3 linked regions of the Canis lupus familiaris genome follow. The protein of the gene in region 1 interacts with the protein of each later gene in a biochemical or structural test. Links are inferred from orthologs where the notes say so. Each region holds a gene or a part of one and is shown in the gene's direction. Other genes may lie near its edges.

Region 1 (3,743 bases):
AAACATTTATTGAGGCCTACTCTGCTGTAGACTAAACTGTGAGTGGGATGTAGTCATGAATCAGTCCCCTGTCCTCAAGGATTTTAGTGTGGTAGGTACAGAGAAGTCCTTAATTAACTCTTAAAAACAGGCGGAATATAAGAAGGACCACATCAGAACAACTAAGAGGTGGGATGGAAGTTCCTAGAAGGCTTCTTAAAGTAGATGGCATATAAGCCAAGTCTTTAAAGATCAGGGTTTCTAGTAACTTGTTGTATATTCTAACTGAAGATGGCAGTATGAGATAGTGTAGGATGCGCTATATTTAACACAAATTGTAACTAACGCCTTTTATTGAGTACCTGCTATATGCTAGGGTCTTGAGGATACAGAAATACATCAGAAGCAGTCCTTGCCATGGAGCAGCTCTCAGTCTCGAGGGGTAGACAGATGTAAAGGGTCCTTTGAGTGACAATGACTTCATAAAGCAGGGAAGAAATTTAAAAAGAAGAGTTGTAACTCTGACTTGGGGAGATCAGGAGATGCTTTGTAAAGGGGAAAATACTTGAGCATGTCTTTAGAAACTGGAAGTTTGCCAGGTGGACTATGGGAGGAATTAGGAGTGCTGCAGGTGCCTGAGCAGATCCCAGCGCTCTCTTATTAAACCATGTAAGTGTGGCAAGCAGCAAGCAGGCAAAGACATTATTTATCGCCCCTCCCACTTGGATTTTGGCTCCTGGAGGGAAGAACCTAGAAGTCTTCTTTTTCAATATCACGTACATGGTTAAATGAAAGGTTTTGGAGGCAGATCTGGATTCTAACCTGGCTTTCTAATCAGCTGTATGACTTTAGGTAAAATAGCTGTTTATGTTTCTATTTCCTCATTTATATAACTTATTTGTGTCTCAGTTCCTCCCACTCATACAACTGGAAAATAGTGTGTAGCACAGAGTCTAGCATATACGAAGTACTGCTACTTCTATCACGATCTCATTTCGTTTTCACAAGCAACCTGGACTTTGCGTAGCATTTCCCCCATTTTTCAGAAGCAGCAGCTTAGAGTACGTAGGCGATCTGCCTAAACTTTCCGGGCAATCTGTCTGCGGTCTCTTCCGCCTACGCAGCCCGTCCGCCTTACTTCTCTGTCCGCGCCGGGTTTTCTTGGGCGGCCCCGGGGGGAGGCTCCTGTCCGGCAGCGCGAAATCCGGCGCCAGGACTTGGGCGCCGCCGCGCTGGCGCCGGGCGGGCGGGCGGGGTGGGGCGGGGCCGGGAGGGGCGGGGCGGGGCGGGGCGGGCGGGCGGGAGGAGGGAAGTTGTCGAAGTTACAGGGGAGACGCCCGCCCGCCCGGCCGCCCGGGCCTCGCCTCTGCCCGCTCCCTCCGCCTCCTCCCGCCCCGAGCCCCAGTCCGCCCGTCCTTCCTTCCCCTCCCGTGCATGATGGAAGCACCATGGCTGCGGCGGCCCAGCTCTCCCTGACACAGGTAACACCGCCCGCCCGGCTCGGCCGCTGTCCCAGGCGGCCCCTCCCCCACCGCGCTGCGGGCGGGCGGCCGGGTAGTTTCTCTGGTGCGGGCGGGGCGGCCGCCGGGGCGGGCGGGGGCGAGCGGCGGCGCGAGGCTGAGTGTGCGTGTACTGCGGGGCCGTCCGAGCCCGCAGCCGCGCCGCCCCGCCACGACCCCGCCCCCGCTCCCGCTCCCGCTCCCCGCGCGGCCCGCGGCGCCCGTGCCCGTGCCGGGTGGGCAGTGGCCCCGCGCGGCTCCGCCTCGGCCGCCGAGAAGTTTCCTCCTTCCAGGCCAGGAGCGCTCCAGGTGGGCTCCCGTGGCGCTGGCGCCGGCCGCCTCGCCCCGCGCGGCGGCCCCCGGGCTCCGCGGCGCTTCCCGAGTTAAAAGTCGCCTTCCCGACGCGGAGCCCAGGGCCGTTCCCCCCCCCCCCCCCCCCCCGACGGGGGCCGCAGTCTGCCGCTTCCGTCGAGCCCCGCGCTCCCCTCGGCACCAGCCTGGGCCCCCTCCGGGTTCGGCCAAGCCTCGACCCGCTCTCCTGGGCTGGACCTCCGCTTCCGTCGTCTTCCGCCCCCTCGGGCCGGGGAGGGCCGTCGCGTAGCCGCCGCCTCATCAACAGGTGTGACGGCTCCGCCCGCCTCGGCCTCGGCGCTGGACGGCCGGAGATGACCTCCTGCGGGGCCATGGTCGGCCCCTTCCTCGCCTCCCCCGTTCCTCAGAGCCTAGGCCCGGTGCTTCCCTCTGGGAGCCTCGTTCCTCCGTCCCCGTAGAGAGGGCGGGCCGCGGTCTTCCCCCGGTGCTCTCCCGCCGAGGTGGCCGGCGCTTGTCCGGCCCCGACCCCAAGCCTCCCGGCCTTCCACTTCTCGGCGGGTCCGCCCTGCCCGGAGCGCCTGCCACAGCCCGCGCGCTGCCCGCTGCCTCCTGCCGCCTTGTAGTCCCCTTGGCCTACATCCGTCGCGCTTCTCGTGGGCCGGTGCCGTCGTCGCGCCGCAGCAGAAGGCTCTGGGGTGTTTGCCCCGGCGCCGTGAACTCGAGAGCCCGAGCGACACCCGCTCTCCGGGGAACCCGCCGCCACCCGCAGACTCGTGCCTCAGGTCCAGTAACTCACTTCAGTTTGCAGGAATTCTGTTTCCTAAGTGACGTCTGGTGGTTTCCCTGTTCTCTTGATGTCGCTCACCCTCTTTTGACAAGCAGGTAGCAGGGAAGAATCCTTGGAATGTGGGGTTGAGGGCTGGTGGCGGACCTCTTTGGAAGGGCCCTCCTGAGATTCAGGTGTGCGCGGTGGCGGCAGTGACTCTTGGGTCGCCCTTTTTAGGAGTCTCATGGCTGTTGGCAGGCCCTTGCTTTCTGGCCGCGCTGGCCGGGTCGGGCAGGAGCTTCCCCCTCTTGAAGTCTTCTGTAGATTTGTTTCTGAGTTGTTTGCGTACTTTATTCTCTCTCCCGGGCTAATGTTTCTGATTTCTGTTTATCATCCTTCATCTCTGGACATTTTCTTTAGGCTCTTGTCAGTTTTATAGATAGTTACATAATTGAAATAGGTTGTTGTGGTTGTGTGTTTAAATATGAACATGTATGTACACAGTAAGTACTGAATCACGAGTATTCTCCTTCAGTGTCTCACATAGAGAACGTACATTGATGGTTCATTTATATTGATAATTCAAATTAAGCCAATTTAGAATATTTTTAAGACATTAGAGGCAATAAGTTCTATATAAAGGGACAGGAAAAAGAACCTTTCTAAACCTTTCTATACCCTAACGTGCCGCCTCGTCATTTTAAAACTTTTTAAACTTGTGTATTTTTTTTTTTATTTTTTTTAACTGCTGGAAACAAATAAACTAAGGTAACAATGCAACTTGGTTTCACATTCATTATTGATCTATTTGTGTCACACTCCACCCCCGACCCCCAAACACACACACTTAGGCATACTCAAGTGAGAAATCCTCCAGGGCAGGGACACATTTTAATTCATCTGTCTTCCTCAGTGCCCATCTGGAAGAAAGTGATTAAACACTGTCTTTTGAATGACTGAAAAATTTAAAGGGCTCTGTGACAGTTAAAAGATTAAACAGATGCTGAAGTGAGTTTCTACCTCTGGTCATGGGATAATGATGAAGTTTTGGAGTAGGTTCTTTCATTCAACAAATATTTGTTAAGTACCTATTATGTGCTAGGCACGATGCTAGGATTGTCTTGTTTATAGTTTTTTTTGCCTTTATCAGTTCAGTAAAACTGACAGTTTGGGGGGAAAATGTGAAA
Region 2 (3,743 bases), on another chromosome or scaffold:
CGGAGCACACATGTCGGTTACTTCGGCACAACTCCAGGAGCGGCTGTGAGTCTCCACAGGAGTTCTGTATTTTGTCCACATCGCACCTAGGAAACCCTTAGCCCAAACACCACGTTGAATTATCAGTCAGCCCTGGCTTCATACAAACGAGAGGAAAATCACTTAACCCCTGGAGCTGTCAACTAACCTCTTTAGGGTACAATTTTTATTTTACACGCGGCCAATTAAAGGATCGCAAACCCCAGCCGAGCGACTGGAGCCGTTTGGCAAAATCTTCAACCTGGGAGGGGGGGTGGATTGGGGTGGGGGGGGTGGGAAGAGCAAAGCCAATAAAACTCCCAAGGCGCTGGGGCCCGAGGTGGTGGCTGCAGCGAGCGGAGGCGATCTCTTGTTGGGCAAAAATCCTGGAGTGACTTTGCCGGTCTCGGTTTGATGATTATATTTAATTGCGAAAGGGATAATAATTTCTAATAAAATTGGACGGGGCCGAAAGGACAGCGCGGTTAGCGCGGGCAGGGGTGAGGGAGAGGTGCTGAAAGGCGGGCCCCAGGCGCAGCGGCGCGGACCCTGCACAGCGCCGGGCCCTTGCGGATGGCATCTCCCTGGAGGAGGAGACGGAGGGGGAGAGGACTGGGGTGGAATGGCGCGGCGGCGGGGACCGGGGGTGGCCGGGGCCCGGGCGCACGGCAGGTCTCAGGGGAGATTTCGTCGGCTCGCAGGCGGGCGTGCGCTCTAGGAGCAAGTTCGCGGCTCGGAGAGGCCTTTATACCTGGGTCGGAGCGGCCGGCCGCAGACTGCAGGTGCTGGCGAGCAATTGGACTATTGTTGATATGCTAATGAGGCGATTAGGCTGTTGGTAAAGAGCTGGAAAAGGGAAAAGTTTCTACCATTAGAGGGAGATCTCCGAGCGCACACAGGAGCTCTTTCCCTTCTCGCCTCCTCCTCCTCACCCTCCTCCTCCTCGCCCTCCTCCTCCTCCTCCTCCTCTTTGCCCTCCTCCTCCTCCTCCTCGCCCTCCTCCTCCTCCTCCTCCTCCTCGCCCTCCTCCTCCTCCTCCTGCGCTCACCGCCGGCAGCCCGCACTTTGCGCTTACCCAGAGAGTAGCTCCACTTGGGTGCGAGGCGGAGAAGGGGGCAAATCCGTTCACGCCGATCCATGAAAATGCTTTGGAAACTGACGGATAATATCAAGTACGAGGACTGCGAGGTAAGCGCGGCGCTGGCTCTCCCTGCGGCCGCAGGCTCCGAGCTCTGCTTTCCCGCTCCTCCTCCTCCTCCGCTCGCAGCCAGCTGCGAAATGCGGGTGGGACAAACTTTCCCCAGCGCAGCGCCCGCCTCTCCAATTTGCCCGAAGAACGCAGGGGAGAAGCTGGAGAGGAAGGATGTGGACGCTGTCTTCTTTCATTTCTCTCCTTCGAAGCTCGTGTCCCACTACCCCCCCCCTTTTTTTTTCTGGCCAGTTTGGGGGTCTGCCTAAGAGTGAAGCGAAGACACGAGCATGGGGTTTGGAAGCAGTTGCTGGCAATTGGGCACGCGTCTGTGCACCCTGCGTGTCTCTCCAGCGAGATTGGGGGGGGGGGGCGAATCACCAGGAAGAGAAAGCAAAGAGAAGACCCCCTTTTTTTCCTCCGTAACTTCCGATCTTTACTATTCCTTCATTTATTCATTCTTTGCTTCCTATCGTCCCCCTCCCCTCTTCCTAAAAAGGGAGGCTCTTTTCCGTTTGGAGAAGGGCCCCCCCTCGCACACTTCAGTCTGAGCTGGGTCGCACCTCCCAGTGTTCGGGTTCAGTTTGGAGGCACCCCTCTCCCAAATTGCTGCGGGGCTCGCTCTGTGCTACTGAGGAAGTTCTGAGCAGCGTCTCCCTCTGAGGGACACTCCGAGAGCATCCCCTGGAGCGGAGGTGGGAGGGCTGCACCGCGTGGAGCCGCCTGCCCGCCGGGTCCCCGGGCTTCAGCCCCTGCAGGCGCCCGGCGGTCGGCTGCGTGACCGTGGGAATCCTGGCCGGGCGGCACACGACCTCGGGCGCGCGGATGGAGCGCGCCTCGTTGGAGCCCATTTGCAAACCCGGGGTCTCCGGAGCCCGGCTTCTCGGGGGCACGCCGGGGAAGCCCCAGCACCGCCGGCCCGCCCGCGGGAGGCGCTGGGAGCCGGCCTGGCCGCCGCGGCCCCGGGCTCCCTCGCAGCCCCCGCTGAAATGAGCCGCGGAGTCACGAGAGGGGGAGGGGGCCCGCGGCCGAGGGTTACCTACATAGGTGGTAGTCCCGGCTTTCGCTATTTTTTTTTTCTTTTTCCGTTCTTTTCTTTGAATTTGGCCTTTGGAGCTGGCAATGTGTGGAGCAGAGGTCTGCGCGGGCGCAGCAGCGTGGGTCTTGTCTTCACTTGAAATCAGAACCGGGGTTTGTGCGAACGCTGTGTCCCCGGTTCCCTGCCCCCTCTCCTCTCCGCCGACTATTTTAAATCTTTCTCCTTTCCCGGGCTCTTCCTTTCCGCCCTCCCCTCACCCCAAGGGGCACGGGGTGACACCCCGCGGGGACCGACGCTGCCCTGGGGGCTCCTCCCGCGTGCGCGGTGCGGGGCGCAGGGACCCCAGGGCGCACCAGCCGCTTTGTTTTGAGGCCCGTGGCGGGGGCGAGGGGTGGGGGGTGGGGGGTGGGGTGGGAGGGCTCTGCGAACGGGTCCGAGGGAGCTCCTCCGTCTCGGAGGGCGCACTGTCCCCGCCGGCGCTGTGGCCCGAGGCTCGGGCACGTCACCCTCGCGGAGGCTGGAACCCAGCTGCGGGCGCCGAGCCCTGGGCGGGCGGGGTCCCGACCTCCGCGCGGCTCGGGGCGCCTGGGAGACCTAGGTGGGAGGTGAGGAACTCGAGGGGCCCTGTGGGGGCGCGTGTGAATGTGTGTGTAAGCGAGGCGGAGAGAGGGAACAGAGGGAGGGCTGTTTCAACAACTTTGCGGCGGCGAGCGCCGGAGCAGGGATTTCGGGTTTCCGAGCCGGCTCGGGGCTGTCTAATTACGCCGGGGCTCTGCAGGGACACGCAGGAGGCGAGGTGCCGCGTGTCCTGACAACCCAGCAGGCGGACCGGCAGCGGCGGAGCCCAGCGGCGCAGGGAGAGAGCGAGCCGTGTCACGGGGGTGGGGGGGTGGGGGGGCGTCGGGCAGGAGTGGCCCAGCCAGTCGGACGGGTTTGCGCCGGGAGCCGGGAGCCGGGAGCCGGGAGCCCGTGCCAGCGGCGCCCGGGCTGGGCCGCCGAGCGTCTCCGCGCGCCCCGGGCCGCGTCCCGGCTCCCCCTCCCCGAGCCCCTGCCCCCGAGAGCCCAGGGCGGGGCGGCAGCTGCCGCGGAGCGGACGGCCCGGGCGGTCCGGGGCTGGAGGGGGGCGGGGGGCACCGGGTCATGGAGCAGCGGCGCGGCGGCGGGCCGCCGAACCCCGAGCCCCAGGCCCGGCTGCGCAGCGCAGGAGCCCGCGGCCGCAGCGGGCAGGGCAGCACCGCCCGCGCCGAGAGCCCGATGAATGCCCGGACGCGGGCCCCGGCGGCTCCTGCGCGCGACGCGCGGCCCCCACGGCATCCCGAGGTCTGCCCCAGCCTTTTAGGTCTGATTGTCCTCGCTCGCTTCCTCTGCCCCTCCCCCGCGGCCTCCCCCTGCGTGCGCTCCGGCTCGGCCCCCTCCCCCTCCCTCCCTCCCTCCCTCCCTCTTTCCCTCCCTCCCTTCCTCCTCTCGGGCTCTCCCTCCTTCCCTCCCTCCCCTCTC
Region 3 (3,743 bases), on another chromosome or scaffold:
CTCAGTTCCATAGGAGGTTCCCAACCATAAGGTAATGCTTGTGAGGGAGTACCTCTTTGACTTTTCCCAGTCCGTCCCTGGGTATGTTTCATGGTCCACGGGTTTGTATATTATAGGTAGAGTTGTGAGGAAGGTACATTTAAATCTGACTTAGAGGGGCAGCCCCGGTGGTTCAGTGGTTTGGTGCCACCTTTGGTCCAGGGTATGATCCTGAAGACCTGGTATCAAGTCCCACATCAGTCTCCCTGCATGGAGCCTGCTTCTTCCTCTGCCTGTGTCTCTGCCCCTCTCTCTCTCTCTGAATAAATAAATAATAAAAATAAAAAATAAAAAAATAAAAGCCAAATACAGACACATTAAAAAAAATAAATGTGACTTAGAAATTTAAAGACAAATCAGGCCAGCGTTTTGTTGTTTAAGAACAGGAAAAGTGGGTGGAAATGAAAAAGAAAACCAAAATCTAACGATGGATGTATTTCTAGGAGCGCAAGAGTTTTTATAGCTACACCAGATTTCTCAAAAATGCATACTGTGACTTGTACCCAAATAAATAAAAAATGCAATCATTTATTCTTGTGCATTGTGCCAATGTAAGAAAAGGGCTGCAATTCATTCAATGGTCCTAATTTAGATTGCTAGGAAGAGGAGAGGTTGGGAGAAAAAAAAAAAAAAAAAAGACAAGCTTTTCAAGTATCTGACACACATCTAGTAGGGCTATTTAAGAACTGCTGAACATAAAAATCAAGTTGGGAGAAGGTGGGGGTAACCAAATTCTCATTTCCAGAGCATCACAAGGCTAAATGCGGCTGGTTTAGTTCAAACTTGCTGATGGCTGCTTGGGTCACTTGGCAGGAGCCAGCCAGGGGTGAGTCTGGAAGCTAGAGAACGCTCAACATGCCACTTCAGTTTATTAACGACGTTACAATTGCCACAGAAGTGTCTGATTCCTGCTAAATAAATGTTCGTGCTTTGCCCTTTAGCATGGAGACTTCTGGAAAGAACTTCAAGGAAACTGGGTGCAAATTGGGACTTTGAGAAGAGATTTTTATCTGTACAAGTGCTTTTCTCCAAGGAGTTGGAAAACACTCCTTAAATACAATCTCTGATGCTGGTATTTTCTAAGTACTACCCTATAAACTAGCAGGGATCAATTTCTCCTTACAGGGAGGGAACTGGAGAAAGGGATGGGTACATAGAGTGAACTCTACAACAAAGAGTTAACCCTTCCCGGGTAACCTCGGCCGTGAGCGTCTGCCCCTTCCTTGCTTTCTACTGCGCAACCAAACTGTACCCGAGCTTGAACCAACCAAAGCCATCGCATCCCTTGCCAGTTGACTTAACAGACACTTTTGGCAGCCTATCATGACTTCGAACTGCCCAGCCATCAGCCAATAACAACTAAACCTTGGTACTGGGCGCTCCGGGTCCGGACGGGGGCTAATACCGGGTTCAGGAAAAGGGGCGGTGAGGAAGCTATGACGGACAGCTGGAAAGAGCCAATCAGAGCAGAAAGCCGCCGCCCCGCTATCCAATGGAGAGACAGAAAGTATGAAACGGGGCGGGCCTGTTGTCATGGGGGAGGTGGTGGCGCTTGGTGGCTACTGGCGGCCGAGGTAGAGGCAGTGGCGCTGGAGTTGGTTGGGGGGCAGCGGCAGGTGAGTGCCGGTAACGCGGGCCTGAGGTCTGGGTGGGGGCCGTCTCGGGCCGGAAACTCCAGTTCGGCGCTCCCGAGGCGGAGGCCGAGAGGAAGGGGGCCTGCACTGTGGGCCGGGTCGGGCCGGGGCCAGGGCGGCGGCGGCGAGTTCGCGCTGACTGGGCTGGTGGGAGAATGGCCCGGTTCCCGGCGGCGGAGTTCGCGTTGGCAAGATAGGCTGGGGCCGGACCCAAGCGGTTCTGGCCGGCAGGTCCCTCGGGACGTCCCGCTGCTTGGGTCTGGGGCACTGACCGGCGGCCGCTGTGGGAGCGGTAAGCCCCTTGGGAGACGGGAGCGGACGGGGTCCCGGGGGGGAGGGGCGGGGGGCGACCCGGGGTGACCGGCCACGACCTGGTCCGAAGACCGGGTGAGCCCGGGAATGCACACTCAGGGCAGCTTGGGTGCCAGGGAGCAGAGAAACCCGGGAAACCCAAGAGCGGCCCGAGCGGAGAGAGCTGGGGGGCCGGGAAACTGGGAGTGGCCCGGGTCCGAGGGAGAAGGGAGTCAGACCGAGGGCGGCCGGGGTTCGGGAGGACCCTGAGGGACGAGTGCGAGCGGGGGCGTCGACGAGAGGCGAGAGGCCGGGGGTGGGGGTGGGGGTGGGGCCGGGGACCCTCCTGAGAGAGGCGGCCGTCCGAGGTGGAGGGCTCCGGGTTTCTGGAGGGTGGGACCTGTGGAGACCTTGGACAGCTGGAGTGGAGCGGAGCGCCCTGCCCCCACCGCTGGGCTGGGCTGGGCGACCCGAGACTGGAACCGGGAGCTCCTGGGTCCGAGGACCCGCGCGCCACCGGGGAGCCTCGAGGAGTAGGTCGGATTGGAGACTAGGGTGAGGGGTCTGCCGGGGAGTGGAAGTTGTCTCAGTTGGAGAGGAGTCAAGCAAAATGACACAGGGGTGGGCGGGGAGAAGCAGTTTCCTCGTAGGAAGCGCGTAGTAGATATAGGGCGTAGTAGGAGGGAGTGAGAAAGTTGTTCAGGGTGAGAGTGGTGGTCTCGTGGGGACCGGCCGGAGCAGCGGCTACGAGAAACTAACAGTGTGGCCGTTAGTGTGTTCTCAGGACTGCAGAAATAGAAGGCACCTCGCCTTCATAAAACTAAGATGTGAGAGAAAAAGCTCCCAAAAGTTGGGTTAAGTAACTTCTTGCATTCCAGTGCTTTAGGGAAAATTTTTTTTTTTTTTTTTTTTAGGATGACACCAATGATATTAGAAAATGAGGACATTGACAGGATGGAGAGTTTGAAAGAGAAAGGGGGGATAAGTAGCTCAAACTAAGGGAATAGGCAGGACAGGGGACTTGATCAAAAAGATGGACGTCATGAAAGGATGGACGTACCCTGGCCAAATTAGAAACTTGAATTCTGGTTCCGCCACTTAGCTTGGACAATTTAACCTCTCTGTACAAGTTTCCTCCTCTGTGTAATAGGTATAATAATAGTCCCTATTTCGTAGGGTTGTTTTTTTTCCACGTGTGTTAATATTTGTAGAACTTTTAGGATAGCGATTGGCACAGAGTGAGCACTGTGCTTACTGACTGCATTGTTAAATAGAGAGCATAAAGACCTGGGTTCTTTTATGCCGTGGTTCTCAAACTTCAGCTTGCACCACAATCACCTGGAGGGCTTGGTAAACTACAGACTGCTGGCGGCATCCAGAGTTTCTGATTCAGTAAGTCTGGGGTGGATCCTGAGAATTTGTATTTATCTCAGGTGATGCTTATGTTGGTCAGAGGCTCACACTTTAAAAACCACTTGCTTCAATGAAAACAATAATAACGTAGCAATCTTAAAATATCTGTCTACCCTGCTAGAGACAAGTAGAGGCACATTGCAAAAATGATCCGAATATAAGGGATACCCATACCCACTGTGAAGCCTATGTTTTTCAGATTGTGGATCGTGATTTTTTCGTAATTTATAAAATCAATTTACTGGGTTACTGCCACATTGAAAATAGGATGAAATAGAATGGAATTGCACTTGGTAAGGAAAAGCATTGTTTGGGAAATGTTTCTCATAAGTGTGTGTACTAGATCACTATGTAAAATGTATTTCT

Evidence for each region.
Region 2: the proteins of EPS15 (region 1) and TFAP2A form a complex in vitro, tested with the Homo sapiens proteins (2 studies listed by BioGRID). The link is inferred for Canis lupus familiaris from reciprocal best matches to the Homo sapiens genes EPS15 and TFAP2A.
Region 3: the proteins of EPS15 (region 1) and NUMB form a complex in vitro, tested with the Homo sapiens proteins (2 studies listed by BioGRID and IntAct, with this or other methods). The link is inferred for Canis lupus familiaris from reciprocal best matches to the Homo sapiens genes EPS15 and NUMB.

Annotation. Positions count from the first base shown.
Region 1 is NC_049236.1:9,793,704-9,797,446, forward strand, and holds the start of EPS15 (epidermal growth factor receptor substrate 15), read left to right. Parts: upstream 1-1,291; 5' UTR 1,292-1,427; coding exon 1,428-1,460; intron 1,461-3,743. UniProt on the Homo sapiens protein: Involved in cell growth regulation. May be involved in the regulation of mitogenic signals and control of cell proliferation. Involved in the internalization of ligand-inducible receptors of the receptor tyrosine kinase (RTK) type, in particular EGFR.
Region 2 is NC_049256.1:11,474,208-11,477,950, reverse strand, and holds the start of TFAP2A (transcription factor AP-2-alpha), read left to right. Parts: upstream 1-942; 5' UTR 943-1,155; coding exon 1,156-1,206; exon of another isoform or gene 1,207-1,368; intron 1,369-2,250; exon of another isoform or gene 2,251-2,607; intron 2,608-3,743.
Region 3 is NC_049229.1:47,084,179-47,087,921, reverse strand, and holds the start of NUMB (protein numb homolog), read left to right. Parts: upstream 1-1,541; 5' UTR 1,542-1,655; intron 1,656-1,820; exon of another isoform or gene 1,821-1,965; intron 1,966-3,743. UniProt on the Homo sapiens protein: Regulates clathrin-mediated receptor endocytosis. Plays a role in the process of neurogenesis.